Linked DNA regions of Schizosaccharomyces pombe. The protein of the gene in region 3 interacts with the protein of the main gene of each other region in a pairwise test. Each region holds a gene or a part of one and is shown on either strand. Other genes may lie near its edges. The genes, in order: dcw1, mtx1, get3 and dap1.

Region 1 (5,000 bases), on a different chromosome or scaffold from region 3:
AATGTAAATTTTGTTTATTTCTCTTTTAAGATTGCATTGGCTTGATCCTTCACTAGACTAGACTGTGTACGTATCATTGCTAACTTCAATCCAAGCAGATAAAAAAGTCTCTAGCTTATTCGTAAACATATAGTCACGTCAAATAATTAACTACTTAAAACATGTGCCGTGTAGTAAGATAAATTGCAGTAGAGTGAGTCGATTGGCAACATAAAACGAAGAACATTATTGAAACGAGGGAAGGGAAATAATCAAAATTAAAATCTAAAAGACAAATACTTGATCCTCAAGCTTCGAAATGGCTCGGGACTTTTCATATCCCAATGCAACTGTAGCTTCTCTGAGTGAATTAACCATGGGAGTAGGGCCACAAATAAGAACTTTGGTTTCAGGAGAAGGAGCAGGGAAATGCGCCTTGATAAGTTCTTGAGTAACAAATCCAACACTTCCCTTCCAGTTTTCAGGAGGATTGTTCAAAACATAATGAACGGTAAAACGAGGATCCTTCTTAGCAAGTGCGTCAATCTCATCACGAAGAACAATATCACCCTCTGATACATTAGCATATAAAAGAGTGATTTCCGTTGGATCTTCAAAATTAGAAAGAACAGCACGAATGATTTGAAGCATAGGAGTAATACCTGTTCCGCCTGCGATCATGCCAAAATGGCGCGCGAGGCCAGTGCGATGCTTCCAATTTCCCTTAGGGCCACGAACACCGATGGTATCACCAATCTTAAGTTCAGAAAACTTCTTACTCACTTTGCCATTGGGGTAAGACTTTACGAGCAAATCAAAATAACCTTTGTCAGCATCGGAAGACAGAGGAGTGTAAGATCTGGAATACTCCTTACCATCAACATCAACAAAGACCTTTAAATGTTGTCCTATGGGGAGACCAAGAACATCGTTAGCGCGAGGCAGACGGAAACGATAAATGGCAGTGTTGTGGTTCAATACAGCTTTATCACTAAGTTCAAATTGTTGAATTTTATCACTCAATACTTTACGAACGCGTCCACGCCAGAACTTATGAAAACCAAGAGAGAATGCCACAACAATAGCGTAACCCACCCATTCGCGTTTCACAATGTAAGTACCAAAGATGATCAAAAACACTGGAATATAGACTCCATGCAACGGGGTACTAAGAAGAGTTTGTTTGGCCATTTCAATTAGGATTGTGAGCCAAAATAACTAAAGAAAAAGTAGAGAAGCCTGAAAGCAGAAGAAATGCGAAACGTTTCCAGAAGACTCAAATTACAAAATCTTCAAGAAACTAAAATAATTTAAAGAATAAGAAACCTTTCAATAGTTTCAAAAAATTTAAAAGAAATCTCTAGTTTTCACGATTCCTGCAGTATTGCTAACAGTAGAAGTTTGGTCAAGGGCAAGTCTATAAAACTAATCAGATTTCTCGAATGATTTTTTAAGGTCATGAACAACTAAGCATGGAATACTGACGAAAGAGAACATAAATCATCACATAATCCATTTCATTGTAAATTATATAGATTGAGGGCTTTCGCTTCAAAATCTGCTAAAATTATTTATTTTGAAAAACCAGCTTGTCGAACCATACTTGTTCGCAAGCATATGCTTGTTTATCACGCCGATTCATAATTTAAGAAATGAATTAAATTTTAATAACTAAATTTTGTAAATTCGTTAATAAATAGTCTTTCAGCAATGATCTACTACCGGAATACATGAGATATATCCATCTATTTATATATAATTCGGTATACAGTTTGGAAGTGAAACACCGTCTCTGAGGAACAAGCATTAAAAGACAGGTAATTGTTTCCAAGTAAGAAGAAGCAATTTAAAAACCCTAGATCCATCAACTTGCATTACTTAACATCACATTTTTTAGTAAAGGACCAGTGTAGGCACTAAAAGGAAGAACCCCAATAGCATCCAATGTTTCCTCAGGTTTTCAAAATTTTTGTTAGCGAAAGATACAGGAGCAGTATAAAGCCCTGCATTGGGGTCTCCTGTTGATGATCCTCCATTCGAAGCCTTAAAGACTTGAAGCGATTTTAAAAGTAAGGGAGCTTGAATAGCTTCCAATGCAGACATTTGCTCTCCAAGGCCATAAAGTCCTATTATAAAGTTAGAACCAATACTGTTTTTTTTTAACAGTCAAACATACCATCCCAAGTATCGTTATTCCACCACCATTGAACACCACAAGTCACTCCATCATAACCGCCGCAACATGCCCCGGCTGCAGCTTTGGCGGTGGATATCAACAATGGTTCTAATAACGGTGCAGTGAATGGAGCCATTTGTGCCGTGTAGACCATAAATCTGGTCAAAAAGCCTTTGAAAGACGTTTGATCATAGTTACATGAAAGAGCTATTTCACATACTGGTTCGAACATAATATCCTTGAAAAAAAAGGTTTTGGCAGTTTTGTTGGCAAAACCTTCAACTCGAGTTTTCCATACCGTAGAGTTCGTCTGGTGAAACTGTTAGTTACAATCATTTTGCATTTTACAGTAAAGTTATAATGTATATATCCTTTAAACGTACATAGTTATACATGTAAGCTGCTCCTGCCATGTATAATCCTATATTGTAAGTCCACTGAGTAATTTCGATAGATGAGCAATTATCTTTTATAGAACTCCCATCAAATACAGTGTAATCTTCTTGAATAAACCCAATCCTTTGGCTCCAATCGTATGCTACATTAGCCCACTCAGCATAAGTATCGTTATCGGTGAATCGAGCCAGTCGAGCTGCAAGCTGAAAAAATGCTCCATTTGAGACAGTGTTCTTATAGTTGTACCCAGAGTTAAATTCAGTAATCTGCCATCGAAGACCACCGTTGCAATGATCCGTGTCCCATCGTGTGACCTGTTGGTTGAATACAGCTTGAGCCAGTTCCAACCATTGTGGTTCATCGGCTGCTGGATTTGAAAAGTTTGCTTCAGCGGCAGATATAACGGTCAGACCCCAAAATGCCTGATCGTCATTTCCCTCAGATGTTGTATAATTCGAAGGCATATAATCTGAATCCTCTCCAGATTGGTACAACATGCTGGTCTTTACCAACTCGTTATATGTACTATTACCAGTGGCAATGTATCTATTTAAAAGTCCCTAAAGCCATTGTTGTTAATAAATTATACTTTTAAGCTCAACGTACATTCCAAGCAGCCCCGGCTTCCCACCAGTAGGCTGGAGGAAGGAACATCCCGATAGTTCCTCCTTTGTGCTGACCAGCATAATAATTCAATAATCCATCAGCTACTAAAGAAGTGGCTAAGTCAACGGAGGACGTGTCATTCAAATCCACCGAAATGGCTTCAGCGAAGGAAAACAAAATAGTTGCAAGTGAAATAAAGATTGTAAGACTCATTGAAAAAGAAGGATTAAATAGAGTAGTATCTTTGAAGATTCCCATATGTATCCAGATGACTGTCGCCCTTCATATGATTCAATGATGACTCATTAATGACTGATAGAAATAATCTAAACAGTAAACAACGAACGACCAAAGGTAGGGAAAAAATATAACTTAACGCAATCTATCTTCTATAAAATTCTTAAGCCTTTCAATGAAAATACTCTCACATTTATTCGTGAGACCGACAGCCCCATGCATATCACAATGAGCAAGAAGGAAAACCTTAGAAAAAATACATCAAAAAGGTATTATTTAAATTGTGTCTTTTTGTTTTAACCGCAATTTTAACTGTTTGAATATAACAGTTTGTACATGGTATCCCAGTACTTTCTAGCGGTGGACTTATTTCCTCGTTCGTTTAGAGTATGTTCTTGCCTTTTCTTTTTTACCTTCCTTTCCCTCAATTTTCGGTTTTTTTAAACTGGATATTGTCTCCTTAACTGAGCGTAAAGTTTCATCGTGAAGTTCGAACTTTTCATATAGAGAGAGACAAAAGGACTTCAACTACAAATAAAATTAGTAATTTATTCTTCTTAAAGTTTATTTTTCTCTACTATATAAAGAATCACTGTACATGCCTTTATAATGTCCTCTCTCATTTCTAAATCAACTTGATACCGTGTAAGGCCTTCAGGATTTACGGTCTTATTACCTAGTTGGTAGCTTCACTGGGGTTAGTAACTAAGATGAAATCATGAACTTACGCTTGTAATTTGTCCATTGAAAAAGTATACATATCTCTACATGATTTTGTTAAAATTTGGTCAACCAAGTACGACTAGACATACCTAATATCATCAAGATATATAGGTGTAGAATTATACACCTTCCCAATCACTTCATTGCATCTAGTACAACTCAACTCTGAATAGACGCTATAATTTTTGTATTAGTAAACTGGCGAGCAACACATGCAACATACCAAAGACCATCATCACTCCTTTTAAACGTATCCTCAACGCGTACACTATTTTCTACTGCATCTAAATGAAATAATTAATTACATGGACATTTCTTTTACCACATACCACTCAAAGTGAAACTAAGATATTCTCGATGAGAAATAACCCAAGCATTAGAATCACCAACTATTTGAAAACATTTTTTACATTGGAAGACGCTAGGTTGTGACTCTTTTTTAAAATCAATATAGCCCGAATGACTAGTTTCCGTCTGGGACATACTTATGGAAAGTTCATTTTATCTAGTAGTAGTCGTTATTAATTAGGTGCGCTTAACATTCTATATATGGTGAACCAATATATATCAGATGTAGAAGCAAAAATTAAATATATTACAAAATTATAAAAAAATAAATTACTCATAGTCCTTTAACTGTTTTCGGAAGAAGGAATAAAGACGCCTTCCTGCTTCGGGGCCAATTAGTTCTGACCATTTTCTTTCTGAGGTTTCGGAAGCTTCTTGAATATCTTTCACGCCTCCATAAAACACATTTCTGTAGTTTTTCATAGTTATGTATGGGAGTCCCATTAGCAGGTCGAGTGGAGCTTGATTATAAGTATTCGTTGAGTCTTGCCCAGCTTCCAAACCTATAGAGGCAGCTGAAGCAGGATCTGGTTCT
Region 2 (6,218 bases), on a different chromosome or scaffold from region 3:
GTTGTGTATTCAGTTACAATAAATAGTGACATACAATAGTCGCTCAAATATATCTGGTTATATTTTATATTAAATAATTTTGCCAACTGATTTATCTTGGGTTGATTTTTCTTATTCGTGAGATTTAGATAGCCGTTCATGATGTTTTTCTGCATACAATGCATATTAGTGGAAAATGCGTTCGATTTCCTTATACTCATACAATCCTTTAGACCGTCGAAAGCGGAGTGGTATCACTTTGGTATAAAAAGGTAGTCTTAATTAACCTACCACTAACGTATATTTTCATTAACAAAAAAAAAGTTTATTATCATTATTCAAGATGGCTAAAAGATCCATATTTCGTTTTGCTGATGAAAAGGGCTTGAAGGTCGCTGCCCGTTATGGAGTCCTTATGTCAACTAGTTTTATTTTTGCTTTACTTTTCCACAGCGTATGTTCCAATCAAATTTCTATTTTATTCTAAGATTATTCATTTGAAAATCAACTTTCATTTGATATCAATTTCGTTTAGCTTTTGGAGACAAAGGGAGCAGAATATGAGAAATTATAAGTCGGTACTTTGAGTGAATTCTGAATTTGTTTTACAAAACATGCATTGTTAAAATAAATCTGGAAAATTATTTTATCAGGAACGTTTCTAAAAAGGAGCTTTTTGTCTGTTTAAGTTTTCATAATCGGATACGAGCATTCATCTTACCGCTCAATGTTTGCCGCGCTGCTCATTTTTCTGTTGTTCTTATGTTTTTGGAGCTTCACTTCGAATTGATTACTTTGTTCATAGTCTTTATTTTCTTAGCATAAATTACTAATGTCATTTAGAGCGTTGCCGATGTGAATACCTTATGGAGTCCTGGCCCTGAGTCTGCTTTCGATGCTGCTGAAACTTACTATACTTTGGTGGCTGGATCCCATTTCATTGTAAAATATACTGTATATACCATCATGGGACTTAATATGATTTTCCATCTTATTCAAGCCACTGGCGCTAAAGGTGATGACAAATTGTTCTTTTACTCTAGCACGCTTCTTTATCTTACTGCACTAATTTTGTTTATTGTTAATGTTGCTCCTTCTATGTTGGTTGTTAAGCTACAGAATTATGTTCAATTCCCACGAAATATGCACTTGTCCGTTCTTGCTGCTTCTCATGTTCTTGTTGAATTTCTTCTTGCTGGTGTCATTCTTATTCAACTTGGATACGTTTTCGGATATCATGTTCAAAGTATCCAGCAGCGCGAATACGCTGAAGATATGAGGGAGCAAGAATTAGCTGAAAAGGCTAAATTGGAATCCGAGTCTGCTACTACTCAGAGTGTAGAAACTGTTTCCACCGAATCTGTTTCAAAGCGCAAGTAAACAAACCACTTGGGTCTAATTTTACAACTTTTGGAATAGAGTGAACTATTTTATATCTTGCTAATTATTGTTGCTAGTCCGTCATCAACTCTTTGACGCAAAGTTTATGTCTAACTAGAAAGCAAAGAGTGACTTGCATTGACGGTAACTGGGAAAGCTTACATGTGTATTCATACGTACAATTATATATATACAAGATTTATACTGTCTTATATAAGAAATAAATTGACTTGAATTTTCGATAGAGGAATAGTTCGTTATGTTTGGATTTAGAATAGTCTTTAGCACACTTATACTTCTTAATAATTAAATATGTACTCATTGTGCAAAAAGGATTATCACAAGTGAAGCTTTTGTGAGATTGTATATTCTTCTATACTATGGATGCATAAACAAAGTCTCATTTTAGATGGGTTTTACGCTGCAGATACAGCAGAAGCGCCATACAAATATACTAAGTAAAATCTCAAAGTTCAAATGCTCAATCGATTTATTGTGCTAATTATCGATGTTTAATTCACTTTTTAACAACTAATAAATAGGTAACAATGTTACTTGTTCGTATAGCTTACTTGACTGCATAGCATCAGAATGATAATTGTAACTAGCTTCAGCGAATTTGGTAAGTTGGACTAGTTGGTTAGTTATTACCTTTTTTTTCTTTCTTCTGTGTTTCTCTAATCTCAACCCTACTGTAGACGGTAACTTTTTCAATTCATTCGTTCGGGTCATTTTTTGATCAAAATGTTGCAACTTTTCATTTATAGCCCAGGACTTGGGCAACCAACGATGGATCCTGGATGCTTAGCGGCATTAATTTATTGCGCACTTGCCGTCCCAAAGGACGAAATTGAAATTCTTCGCACTGCAAATTCAGGTATGAGCCCTACCCATAAGCTACCAGCTTTGTGGGATGGTCATGTTTGGATTGGATCTTTGAAAAACATTTTAATATACTTGAAACAGAAGGGCTATAATTTGGATAATTTTGATGCGAAACAGCTGGCCAATGTTATGGCCTTCACCAGTTTATTGGAAGGTTCCGTCAATGACCTTTGGTTATTAGAAGCCTTTGTTAATGAGGAAAATTTTGTTGAAGCAATAAGACCTGCTTGGTCAAAGGCACTTAAATTTCCTCATAATTATTTGACACCCAATGCTTTGCAACGGCAAGCAAAAGAACGCTTGGCTCAAACACTTGGTATTCGCGACGAAGAAGTCTCTTATGAAGCATCAAGGATGCCTATTTCTCATAAATGGACTAATGCTACTAGACATAGGCAAGCTCTACTGCGCACGCAAGCTCGTCGTATAAGAATTTCGTCATTAGCTCGGCAGGTATATGGTTCGCTTGAGTCCCTGATTTCAGATTCAAAATTTATATTCGGTGAAAAGCCAACATCTCTCGATTGTTTGTTTTACGCCTATTTATCTTTCCATGCTTTCACCAATGAGCTTCCTCAAGCAACTTTGCGACCATGTTTGCAATTCAACTCTCCCAAGCTTTATGCCTATCTCAAATCTTTACGCGAAACCTGGTTTTCCGATGATTCAAACATACTTTCTCCTTTATCGATTAAAGTTCAACCCGAAAATCTATTGACTATAGCTCGCCTTGCTTGGAACAATGTTACTGCCAAAGCAAATGATACAAGGAAATCAATTACTAAGTTTAGCGTCCCTCCCGAAAGGAAACTGCTGTGGGCGAGGAATGGATTCTTTATTTTTGCATCCGCTTTCAGCTTTGTATGGTTTGTCATCAGCAATGGTATAGTTGTCATTGAGACGGAAGATGATGAGGCTTCCTTTGAGGAAGTAGATGATGCTAAAGAAAGCATACAAGAAAAAGAAATTGATGAAACTACTGAATCAAAAGCGACCCATGACAGTTCAGAAACCTCATCAAGTAAAGAGTTACCTAAGGAAGAAGAAAAAGAGTCAAGTTCTTTTGATTTGCAACCTTTATCAGCGCAAGATTTATTGTTTTCTGGATTTGCAGAAGATGAAATTATGGATGAAGAATTTGGGTATGACGATGATGACGATGAAGAATTTGATTTAGATGATTTGGATGACTTGGAGGAAGAGATTGTTTGATTGTAAAAACAAAAAATAATTTCTCGGTTCTTAAACATAATCTACATTTGTTAAATATTAACCCGATATCGGCTTCCAAGTTTTCTTTACATATTTATTAGTCAAAATCTAATAAATCTAGATAAATACTAGTATCAGGTTTTTTTGTATCTATATAAGAACACTGCAGCAATAAAACGTTGTTGTCATGTTAACAAAATAATAAAATAAAAAGAAGGATAAAGGGATCCTTAAACCATCTGTTCTGCGTTCGTGGCTGATGAGTTACCGGCTGAATGAACGTTGGTATAACCTTCATCGAGCTCAGCTTGGACATATAAGATATCGGCATTATGATGATCTAAAGGAGGAAAGAGTTGACGATAAACGACATACGCAATTGCAAAACCAAAAAGGGCACCGACTGCAATGTCTTCTTTGTGGTGACGGTAATCTTGACTGCGGCTGAGACCAATCCAGGATGCAATGCTCAAAGGCACAAGTGGGACTACTACCTTCCATGAAGAGGTTTTATTACGGAACATCTTTAACTGACCTGCAAGGAAGATTGCTAGAAATCCAAGGCCAGCAAATGAAAATGATGTGTGGCCAGATGGAAAAGAACGGAACCCATCCTGCAATACTTTATCCGACCATGGCACAGAACAAGATAGAACATCTACCAAACCAGTTTTTGGAGTTGACTCAAAAGGTTGGCAGCGTGCAAGGAAGTCGGGTCGTGGCCTGCCCACCGCATTTTTAAGTAGAGAAACGCAAAGACCGCAGACCATTGTAGAGTATAAGAGACCCATAAGAGATTTCCAAAATAGTAACGAATTATTTCTTAATTTGCCGAATCCGTAGAGGACAAGTGCAGGAAAGAAAACACAAATAATCTAGAGGGTTAGCTAAGCAATTTTACCAATTGTCTATAATCATCAAGATAAACAACATACACCGAGATACTTTGTGGGAACTTGCTCATGAAGTGCAAATGGATGAGAAATGGTTATGTCTTCTAAGGAAAATTGGCGAGTAAAGGGCAACATTAGTACGTCAAATACGAAATAGCTTAAAGATATGGCTATAAGTACGGCATAATCACTATAAACGTTCCAAAATAACTTAACGTGTTTGCCTACTGCTTCCATGGTTTAAAAATTAAGCAATTTCCTTCAGCGTGACAATTTGCCCTGCAATGGAGGTGAAGTGATGCGACGACGGTGAAGACTGACAGTGCAATGACCTCAAGCCTCAAACAACCCAATTTCATTTTGCTGATTTAATCCACCTATTGTTGAATAGTTTTTGTTTTGTACTGTTCTTTTTTTATTATCCTTTCAAATTTGGACATTGCTTCGCAAGTTCACGTGCTTTTTTTTTTTTTTTAAATCGACAATTTTATGCTTAGCAAAGGTAATCTATACTCTCTTACGGTTATAAAATCATAATTAAATTTATTTATTTCTTAAATCGAAAGTAATTATTAAGCTTAATTCTGTATGTGCACTTATTGAAACTTGTTTGGATAAGTATTACAGAACCAAGTGATTCGGGTTTTGTAAAAGTAAAACAAAACTCGGTTTTGATTAAAAACTTTAATAACGGGTTAAATTGCATTGAGCTCCCGATTATTCAGAAACAAGTGCGCAAAATCACTCATCATTTAGCGTCTATTCAATTTAAACACTTTCAGGATGCTCAAGATTTCAATTGCAAAATCATTTATTCATTTAGTTTAAGCAATATGTTTTATCTATCTATGAGAGTTCTCAAAATAAAGCGACAATCTATTAACTTAAAAAGTCAATGTAAGCAACAAATAGCAATGTTGACATGTAGGAGTATTACAAAAAAATACTCCAAAAGCATAACCTCAGCACCAATTCTTTTTAAATATGCCTAATATTGTGTTATAAAACTGTTTTCTGGTGAAAACAATTGGAACTGCAAGAAATTGATTCTTGTAGTGGAATGTTCTTTTTCAAAAAAAGAAAAAAAAAAGAGAAACTATGTTTGTATGTTTTTAAAACAAAACAAAGTATACTTTTTTTGATTTGATGTTTGGTTTGTGATGCTCGCTACAAAGACTTGATGTCTATCAGCTAAAATTATATAACTTCATTAATTTCAACGAATCGATAAGATATTCCAAAACAGAGAAATCACTGGCAAAAAGAAGCTTTTAAAAAAAAAAAATTGGTCTTCTTTAAGGCACATGTTTTACTATACTTAAGTAGTGTTCATAACCATGCCCGAGTGTCTCATTTGGACGAATACACACTACTACCACCTTCCTTTCCTTCTTCCTTAAATTGGCTTCTTTAATTTATGAAACGCTCTTAACGAACATCAATATTCCATAGCTACTGCCAAACATACAGAGAGTGAGCACAGGTTTGGTAAAAGGCCGTTTGGTTTGAATTTGCTAAGAATTACGCACATTAGTAAGTAGTACATATACACCGATATTATTTTTGCCAACTTGGATAAGCTACTCTTTTCTTTATTACGCCCTCTCCGTCCGGAGATGAAGTGTTTCTTAATTTGTGGATCTAAAAAAGAACCGATTTCTATTAATGGAACTCCAAATGTTGTAAAAAGCAAGTACTTTGAAGGAGATGTCAAAGTACGTCTGCGCGATTATGAAACTCCAGACGAAGAATATTTCGAGCAATCCAACGATACTTGTTCTATTATGATACGAGGCAGATTTTTACCTACAGAGAGTACGTTGACCGCAGATGACATTTTATTTGGAAATCAATTTGAAAAACCACTTC
Region 3 (4,829 bases):
CACACTCCTGCTGTTCCTGCTGTCCCGTCTCAAGTCAAAGACCTCCCTTCTATTTCAAAGCCTCAAGAATTGGATGAAGAAGAAGAACTTCGAAAACTACAGGCTGAATTCTCTCTTTAAAGTGACCAGTACGCTTGCTCGGTATTTTTATTATTTTCTCAATATGTTAAAGTCATCTTCTAAGGTTTCTGTTATAACTTATGGAATTATTTAATTTGTCAGTTGTTAGTATTCTATGTTTTCCTTGTTATGAGTCATCATGGAAGCCTAAATACAAATTTTATGTACAATACCATTATTAGACTATAACTTATAGGTCTCCGTCCTCATGTTCGGATGTGTGTTTTTTCATTGTATTTTAATAATTGGTGTAGTTAAATAATCTACGGAAAAACTAGCTGAAGAATTTTACATATTACGTCTTCTTCATTCTACTAAAACAACTGTATCAAATGACTGTTAGTTCAAGTTAACTTTTTAATGTTTTGAGTTATTCCAGACACGTTCATATCTTGTCAAATTGATTAATATTAATCTAAACAGTGTGCTCAGAATCCTGTTGTGTTTAATCATTAAACAGTGTATCAACCTAGCGCTTTTGGTTTATTTGCTTTGGCAAATAGTCAAGCTCAACTGAGGAAACGATAAGAATTCTTCAACAAAATAAAAGTAATGTAAAAACTTAGAAACAGCCATTCTAATATGCATATTCAAGCTGTCAATCAATTTGTTAAAAAATATACATTTAGAGGCTTTTGACACCCTTATTAACAGCAGTGGATAAGATTGAAAAAATACATTATTCTTTGCCAGAAGTAGGATAAACGTAAGGCTTGACCAACATCTCAGAGAAAGACTTCAAAGCTTCAGTACCGCGAACTTCAGCTGGAACTTGCGGTACTTTGACAACATGAAAGTCTTCATAGAGCTCTTCAATTTGCGCCAAATATTTTTGTTGCATTTTTCTTCTAGCCATACACTGGGGACAAGTGGTGTTGGGATCAAGCAAAAGTTGGTTAACAACGATGTTGTGAGTATCAATTTCATAACTAGTAAGTTCTTGAATCATTCTTTCAGTTTCATAAAGAGAAAGGAACTCGGAAATACATACACACACAAAAGTAGTAAGATCTGGATTCTTAAATTGCTTGTTAACTTCAGAAATATTAGCACGCATGCTTTCCATCTTTCCAAATAGATCTTGTTCATTGGCATTTACACCCATTATGCTACCCATTTGGTTAATCATAGGGCCAAATCTACTGGAGAGACCGCCAAGCTTGCCGAGAGCTTTTTCCAAAACAGTTGGAAAATTCAAAAATCTTAACGTATGTCCAGTAGGAGCGGTATCGAAAATGACACAATCAAATTCCATAGATTTGATCTGCTTAAGGATTTCAGCGAATGCCAATGCCTCGTCGATACCTGGTATTGTAAAAGCCAAATCCTGCATCATTCCAGATAAAGGATTATTGGGATTTTGTTGGTCAGCTTGCTCTGTCATTTCCTGAATGGATAAATTAGGATCGATCTCCATGGCACTCAGATTATCAAAACCAGGAACCTTACGAGCGTCTTTTCCAAATTTCGTGCCAAAGGCATCAGAAAGATTGTGAGCAGGATCCGTGGAGATAAGTAGAACAGAGGATCTAACTTTTGACATTTGAATGGCCAATGAACACGACGTAGTTGTTTTTCCTACACCGCCTTTTCCTCCTACAAAAATCCATTTTAAGGAAGTTTGCTCAAGAAGGTTTTCTAAGGTTCCAGGCAATGGGTCGAAGGACATTTTACTTTATTAGAGAATTTTTTTTTTTAATCTGAAGCTAGTCTTCTTATAGACTCTCGTTGACCAGATGCACGATGCGATATGCTGAGGATAGGTGTTACGACAGTTTGCAAGTGAAAATGAAGATCCTAAGTACGCGGCAGATCAGTTCCCAACGATCAGAGATAAAAATTTAATTAAAGACTTAATAATTGTACATTGCAACTACAATTAATAGTGTATAGCATGTTTTGTTCCTATTTTTGATACGCTAGCAATATAACAATTAAGTAAGTTTTTTATCAAGGATTCGTAAAGCCATGCTAGTAGAATGCTAAATACGGTATGCTGAAATTTCATAATTAAAAAAATTCCTTTAAATGGATTTTCTAATCGTATAATATGTTTTGGCCTGCTGAAGCTCGATTACCATATTCGTTATAAAGAAAAGAACTACATGGAATCATTCAACGTAAATCAAGGATCAGAGCTACAGATGTTTGTTGATGACTAAAGCACTCACAAGAAATCAAGGAACAACTTTGAATCATACTGAGCAGAGAATATACTATTTTGTACCATCATATAAATTTGCATCCATATCAACAACATATTTAGTAAACTACCAGTTTTTGCATACCGATAGAGGAGATATATTAAACTGAATTAAAGAAAAAGTTATTATTTCTAAGTCTGAATATAATCCCTGATAAGCAAACAAAGAAAAACATAAAACACACTATCGAAACCCAACACCAAACAAAAACAATCGTAAAAAGTATTAATAGTACATTAAAATCGGATCCTTATGAATACCCCTGTACAATTAAATATGACTATCTTGATTCGCAGCATCCAGTACCAGTGGATGGGGTTCCATAAGTATCACTCGCGAAAAGGAAAAATCCTATCCAAGCACCTACGAAACCGAACAAAATGGCATATCCGTTAAACGACATTACAATCAACATGAGGATGGTAGCGGACAAGTAAAACGATGAATACATGGCTGCTCGTATTAGTTGTTGCCAGACAGTAACATGCACAGTGGAACTTGGAAAGAAGATACGCAGAGGTCCACTTAAAGTTTTGCCATTAGAGTGAGCAACAATCCAGCGATCAAACATTCTTTGAACGAGGGACAAACCTTCAATAGCGACGGCGAAGAAAAAAATTCCAATAATACTACCGGCGAATTTGTTTCCAGTGTTGATATGCCAGGATTTAGCCAGGAAACACGAGTCATGTATATACCAATTCCATAGCATACTCATGCGACATGTCGCAGCACTCGAGTTACTGGAGCTACCCATACCCATGCCACTCATGCCACTCATACTCATCTTACTTAAGCTCATTTTGTTGCAAGAAGCGTTAGCCAAATATTGAGAAGTATCTTAGGTATCTGTCAATAAAGGATAAGAGCCGATAAAAAGAAAGAAAAGAAGACACTCAATGGAAAGCGTCTTAAACTAAAATAACAAGTATAACCGGAACAATGCGAAAACAAATGTCTTTTGTTGAAAGTAAGTTAATAACACTAGTTTTACCACCTTTAAGCGAAATATCTCTCTATGAGCTGGGCCTTTTTCGCAGACAGACAAAATGTATAATTTAGCAACTTCTTACTGCTACCTATACACTTGAATTAGAATGATCACTACAGGTTTTTTTCAAGTCCTGAATGTTCAATTAAGCTGAACGCTCAAATATCGCTTCAAAGTGAACGGGGGTAGGATTACCTTTTATAGCAGTTTAAAAGCATCATCTACTGATATGCGACTTTTTCTCCTTTGGGTAAAAACTACCAGCTATAATCGCTCAGCAAAATTCCCGCCAAATGGTGATTAAGGTATTGCGGCGGGTCGCGTTAATCGAAAAGAATATAAAAATAAAAAAAAAAAGCAAAATTAATTAATTAATTAAATCAAACATACAAAGGAATTTGGATGAATATGAATATGTAAATTTTAATCCCGGTGATGTTATCGTATACATTAAGAGTTACAAGAAACTCCAAAAAAAATAAACAAATGAGGTTTGCCTAAATTGATATTCAAATACGATTTTCGTACGTTGTAAATAGATATAAAAGTAAAGTAAGATTTGTATGAATACAATAACAATTAAGATTCTTCTTTTGATTAAAGCACTACAGGAGCATTTATACACTTAATTGGTTTAATTATTTGTAGAAGATAATTTATAAATAACCATGCAATGTCACATTAATTTAATTTAGCTGCTCCTTTTAAAATTTTTTTTTTAAAACGATTATGATTTTAAATTCTTTTTTTATTCTTGACATAATTGCTTAATAAGGAATGAACGTATGGTCCATTTAAATAAAATAAAATAAAAATCACCAAATATTGAGTGGGTTATAAAAACCAAACCTTTATGAGATATTACAAGAAAATTAAAACAAAGTTGTCATTCATGGCCTAAAAAAAAAAAAAAAAAAAAAAAAAAAAAAAAATATTTCAAATCGTACACATTTATATTTTTGGTACTTTAATGGTTTATTCATTATCAGTTTATGGTTTCAGCGAGTTCAAGACAATAATTGTATCGAAGCATTGAAAACACAAACATTCTTTTTGCACAGAAACAAAAACAAAAAAACGAAATGAAGCCTACAGCACCCCGGATTCCCATGTTGTCTCCAACCATAGTACTAACGAGGCCCTCAGACGCTTAACTGCAGTGATCGGACGGGAACTGGTGTTTTCGCCTAGGTATGGCCGTAGACATTAAACATGTCTAGTTTATAAATTATATAGTCAAGAAATCTTGAATGCAGCCCTTAAGTGTAGCTTGTTATCAGTGCAGAAGAATAGTTCGTAGTAAGAAAAACTGCGTAGAACAATACTACAAAAAGGCAATAAAATCGATCAATTAGGTTTTCTTTTGAAAAATGGTTTATGATGATCAATCACTACATACCAGTTATTGTTTTATTGAGTGTATTCAGTAGGGAAGTATTTTTTCCCGCAATTTGGGTTGGTCAATGATTATGAAGATAAATTGAAAACAATGGACATACTTGATACAAATTGAC
Region 4 (4,116 bases), 520 kb from region 3:
GTACTCCTCCTTGGCTGCTTTCATCTCCACTTCGTATTCCTCTTGTGCCCGATTCACCAAAAACGTTCTCCAACGCTCTGCAATTTCCAATTCCTCATCTCTACTCCTTCTAAGTTCATCTGCCAAATCTAAAAGAGTTTTACAAGTTCCGTTACGAATAGATTCCAATTCAGCTTCCAGTTCTGCTTTTTTGGCTCGGAACTCACTAGCTGTAAGTGGATTGTTCAATAAAGGATCCAGTTCTTCTTTTTCATTGTCAAAGACTCTCGAAAGGACGTCCATGACGCTTTAACTCTTTTACCACCTATTTGTTCGTGACAAAACAATTTTGTCCTTCTTCCAGCTACTGACGAAGGATTTTAAGGGTAAGGGTAAGATTCTCCGAATACGAAATAAAGTTATCTAAACGAGAAAAGTTGTGCTAATAATTATCAGATGAACAACGGTTTACAATAATTCTTCAAAATGGATCATACATCTACTACCATTTATATATGTTACAACAAAATAGAAGACACAGATGGTTATTAAGTTTTCATTGTCAAAAAAAAACATGGAAATGACATACAATGTTTTTTAAAAGATGCTATCGTAACCTTATCAAGGCACCAAAATTACTGCTACAAGGACTTTTTTCAACATTGCTTAAGAGCCTCTATTTCATGCAAGATAATTTTTGAAAGCAATCATGCTTCTAGTAATTTCATAACACATCATCAAATGTACCCAAATACTACAGATTGATCCTTCGGACGCGGAACGTATACCACTTGTCCTAGATTATCCCAAAGAAAAGATCATAAACCCATAAGCATGAAAGAAGTCATAAAAAACAGGTTTGTCGCTATTAATTATGCGCAACTTTTTCTTCGGTTTCTGAAATAGTAGCTGCTGCTCTGGCCTCTCTGGGACTTATCAGCCTGCCAACAGCTTGATATTTTTGGTCAAAAAATGCTTTCCAATCGTTTAGAGCCTGCCTCTCCTCATCGTTTAAATCACTGCAATCATCCAATTCTTCTGCATCTGAATCAGGAATAAATTCATCGTCAAAACTATTTTTTGCTAAACCACGACTGGCATCATGACCGGCAAAAGCACTATAAGGGCCTTGTGGACCATAAAATTTTGATCCCATTGTAACGTTGTACACAGTTCCCTTGATAGCAAGAAAAACCAATGAATTTTTGGAGCCATTATATTCCTTCAGTTCTGCTGGAGTATAATCTCTCCATTCGGGCTGTTTTGGCTCTTCGCTTGCAATAAAAGATTTCTCATTCTTCCTTCTCCAGCGAGTGATTAGCAAATAAAGAAATAAGGTTACTATAAAAACAACTTGTGTAGATGCCATGGTGTTGGTTTATGGAAGAATCAACTGGTCGCATGATTCTCTCAAAACCTTCGCACTACCTGCTTAGAAGAATACGTACGATAGTTTTGTTACCATGGTACATTACTATATACGGACGGTTATAGAGAATATGTTTATTGCAGTCTCGTTTTCTGCACACATAAACTGTTTAAAAGGCACTGTAATAAAGCATAAGTTAAAAATTTTGGTTAGTTATGTAATTATATATCAATGATTATGTTGCTCATATATACGCACAGAATGGAACATAGCATATCTTATTTACTATGACAAGAATCTTACAAAAGGTTACAATACTCTTTATGCATGTATAGTCTGCGTAATGGTGTTTTGATTTATTCAACAAAGCGAGAAATCGTAGTCGCACGACATTTTTTTAGTAAAAAAAACAAAATTTCTCAACAGCATAGTTATCCAGGCATACACGAACAATGTTTAAACAAACTGCTGTTCAGAACTTGTTTCTCGTTTCACAACTATTGGTTCAAAGAGCTGGGTTTAATAGAATATTGAGCCTTCTGGCTCGTGTTCATCATGGTAGCAGCATGAGTCGAACGCATGCCTATATCATTTGAAATAGTATGCTTCCACTCGTACAAAATGCAAACCTTTCAAGACTATGATTAAAAGTGCTTTATATATAACTAGCAATATATCAGTATCATTACGATTTAAATTTATCCTTTTTTTAAACCAACTAGTTTACTTGCTTTGTGTGCTAGATTACCAACTAGTATCTCACTACTCTCCAACATTATTTCCGTTTCAGTAGAATTATCGATTGATATCAAAGTTTTATTTAAATATGGTAAAACAAGTCTTAGTTTATATCATCAAGCTAATCACGTTCATCCTATAAAGCTACCTAGCAACTACATTAATATGTTGTAGCCTACCGACTCACTGCAATTTCACAAAGTTGAAGAATGCAGTAAAGAGTACTAAGATGACTACATGCCAAAAGAGGCAATAGTCTTCGCACAATCATTGGCACTTGCAAACGTGGAAATTTCTTTTGCAAGCAATTTGACTTGTGTGCGTTGGGTAGGCTATAAACTAAGGAAAATGCAACCTTTATTATTTCCATCCGGTACTACGAAGCAGTCACATTAACCTAACCTGAAGCGAATGAACAGAATAAGAAAATTCTGATAATCTAACAGTCGTTATGGGATTAGTTACTAGAATTAAGCATTCGATTTAGCAAACAAGATCCCAACTATTCGGAATCGGCTCTCCTGAAATCCAAGGTCATTTTGCTACCATTAATTCTCTCGGTAAACCATTATGAATCAGAAATAACGCTCATGCTGATGGACTATAGAATATAGCAGCAAGCATTGTTCTACATAATCGAGGGTTTGTTTTTGTTAAAGAAGCTTATGTATTTGACTAGTAGTAGAAAGGAACCTTTTTATCTCCGTTAATAATAATTATTAAAGTAAACAAATACCATTAATCGAGTAAATAAATATACAAAATATACTTGAACGATCGGCTATTTACAGGAGCTGTAAGATTAAATTGAATATAAAATAATATTTCTTATGGAAAAATTGTTCGGCTAGTTTAGTGTAAATATTCACCGAAGGCTTATATACAGTGTCTATATGATGATGGTTGGTAATTTTTCTTGACAATTTGTTGTGTAAGTATGACTTGACTAGCCTAAGAAAATCGTTTGATTTTATTGACCATCTTACATATCCAAGTGTAATGAAATTTGCAGCTGTTGTCAAGCGGTAGATGTGAATGTATCGTAAGACCGGTAATTTTTAAAAAAAAAAAAAAAAAAAAAAAGAAGAAAAACAGGTCAGTCATTATTTCCTCCAATGTACAGTCATACCAAGAAATCATACAAGTGTTGCCCTTCTTCTTTGATGAATTATTTTGCCGAATAAAATCAATAAACACCGATGGTACAAGTAAACAAAGATTCGGCGAGGAAGTGAAGCCGATGAAGAGTGTAATTAAAGGACGGTAGTAGGTGATTGAGGGTTTTTTTATTATTGAAGAATTTTGGTAGTATAGCTTTATTTATTAAGATAAAAAAATTATTAATTCAAATTTAAAAACTTTTTGAAGCTGATAACGTTGTTTACTGTTTTTAGTCTACAAAATTAATCAATGTTTAATAGTATATGTAAACATCATCCACAGTCGTGAATCAAATCTCCAGTATTCTTTCATGAAATCAAAAAAAATATCTTACAAATAATTAAAAGAATATGCTGCTACACATTCAATGCTTTCTTGAATCCTTTAATAACACCGATCTATTACGTTTTTAGCCTACTCCAACCCAACCCCCGAAGTCACCAGATCATTTACTGTTGTTATATTCCTTTTCGTTATTTAGTTTAGCGCAGCAAACCGGATGTTGTATAAGCAATTTACGATGATTACCATTCTACTACCACATAAAAAGCAATGCCCTCGCTGTTTCTCTAATTGCCCGGTCCATCAACAAGCGATTAGCCCATTCTAGAAACGAAACAATCTTAACACTGAGGCTGGAGAAAAGTTTTAGAAAGTGTTGAATTTTCGATTTTTTACATTGTAATCCTATTCCTTTTCTCTTTCTCTTTTTCCCGCTTCACTTATTACACTTTAAAAGCCTACGCTAACAAGAAAGAGAAAAAGGGCGATAATCTCGTGTATTTGGGTTAAGTGCGTAGGTCTTTTCCTTTTAATAACTTTCTCTTTACGAAAGAAGTCTTAACTGGTATTCATAAACCTTTAATATT

What was found.
Region 1: the proteins of get3 (region 3) and dcw1 interact in a two-hybrid assay, tested with the Schizosaccharomyces pombe proteins (one large-scale study listed by BioGRID).
Region 2: the proteins of get3 (region 3) and mtx1 interact in a two-hybrid assay, tested with the Schizosaccharomyces pombe proteins (one large-scale study listed by BioGRID).
Region 4: the proteins of get3 (region 3) and dap1 interact in a two-hybrid assay, tested with the Schizosaccharomyces pombe proteins (one large-scale study listed by BioGRID).

Annotation. Positions count from the first base shown.
Region 1 is NC_003421.2:510,171-515,170, forward strand, and holds dcw1 (mannan endo-1,6-alpha-mannosidase), read right to left. Parts: upstream 3,371-5,000; coding exon 3,158-3,370; intron 3,112-3,157; coding exon 2,539-3,111; exon of another isoform or gene 2,466-2,538; coding exon 2,156-2,465; exon of another isoform or gene 2,106-2,155; coding exon 1,873-2,105; 3' UTR 1,596-1,872; downstream 1-1,595. Other genes in the region: cbr1 (cytochrome b5 reductase), read right to left, coding at 265-1,170; kinetochore protein Mis18, read right to left, coding at 3,761-3,922, 3,997-4,081, 4,123-4,158, 4,207-4,293, 4,341-4,401, 4,447-4,600; rad16 (DNA repair endonuclease XPF), read right to left, coding at 4,736-5,000.
Region 2 is NC_003423.3:1,169,970-1,176,187, reverse strand, and holds mtx1 (metaxin 1), read left to right. Parts: upstream 1-1,955; 5' UTR 1,956-1,981; intron 1,982-2,057; 5' UTR 2,058-2,103; coding exon 2,104-3,456; 3' UTR 3,457-3,686; coding exon of another isoform or gene 3,687-4,331; 3' UTR 4,332-4,391; coding exon of another isoform or gene 4,392-4,586; 3' UTR 4,587-4,881; downstream 4,882-6,218. Other genes in the region: chaperone protein Shr3, read left to right, coding at 323-433, 823-1,359; SPOM_SPBC409.18 (phosphatidic acid phosphatase), read right to left, coding at 3,687-4,331, 4,392-4,586; protein duc2, read left to right, coding at 5,966-6,218.
Region 3 is NC_003424.3:3,634,062-3,638,890, reverse strand, and holds get3 (GET complex ATPase subunit Get3), read right to left. Parts: upstream 1,882-4,829; 5' UTR 1,790-1,881; coding exon 800-1,789; 3' UTR 501-799; downstream 1-500. Other genes in the region: ESCRT III complex subunit Vps32, read left to right, coding at 1-120; Cu transporter complex subunit Ctr5, read right to left, coding at 2,605-3,126. UniProt on the Schizosaccharomyces pombe protein: ATPase required for the post-translational delivery of tail-anchored (TA) proteins to the endoplasmic reticulum. Recognizes and selectively binds the transmembrane domain of TA proteins in the cytosol.
Region 4 is NC_003424.3:4,152,705-4,156,820, reverse strand, and holds dap1 (cytochrome P450 regulator Dap1), read right to left. Parts: upstream 1,362-4,116; 5' UTR 1,349-1,361; coding exon 848-1,348; 3' UTR 501-847; downstream 1-500. Other genes in the region: Clr6 and Rpd3L histone deacetylase complex subunit Sds3, read right to left, coding at 1-282. UniProt on the Schizosaccharomyces pombe protein: Required for sterol biosynthesis. Functions as a positive regulator of cytochrome P450 enzymes erg5 and erg11. Function requires bound heme.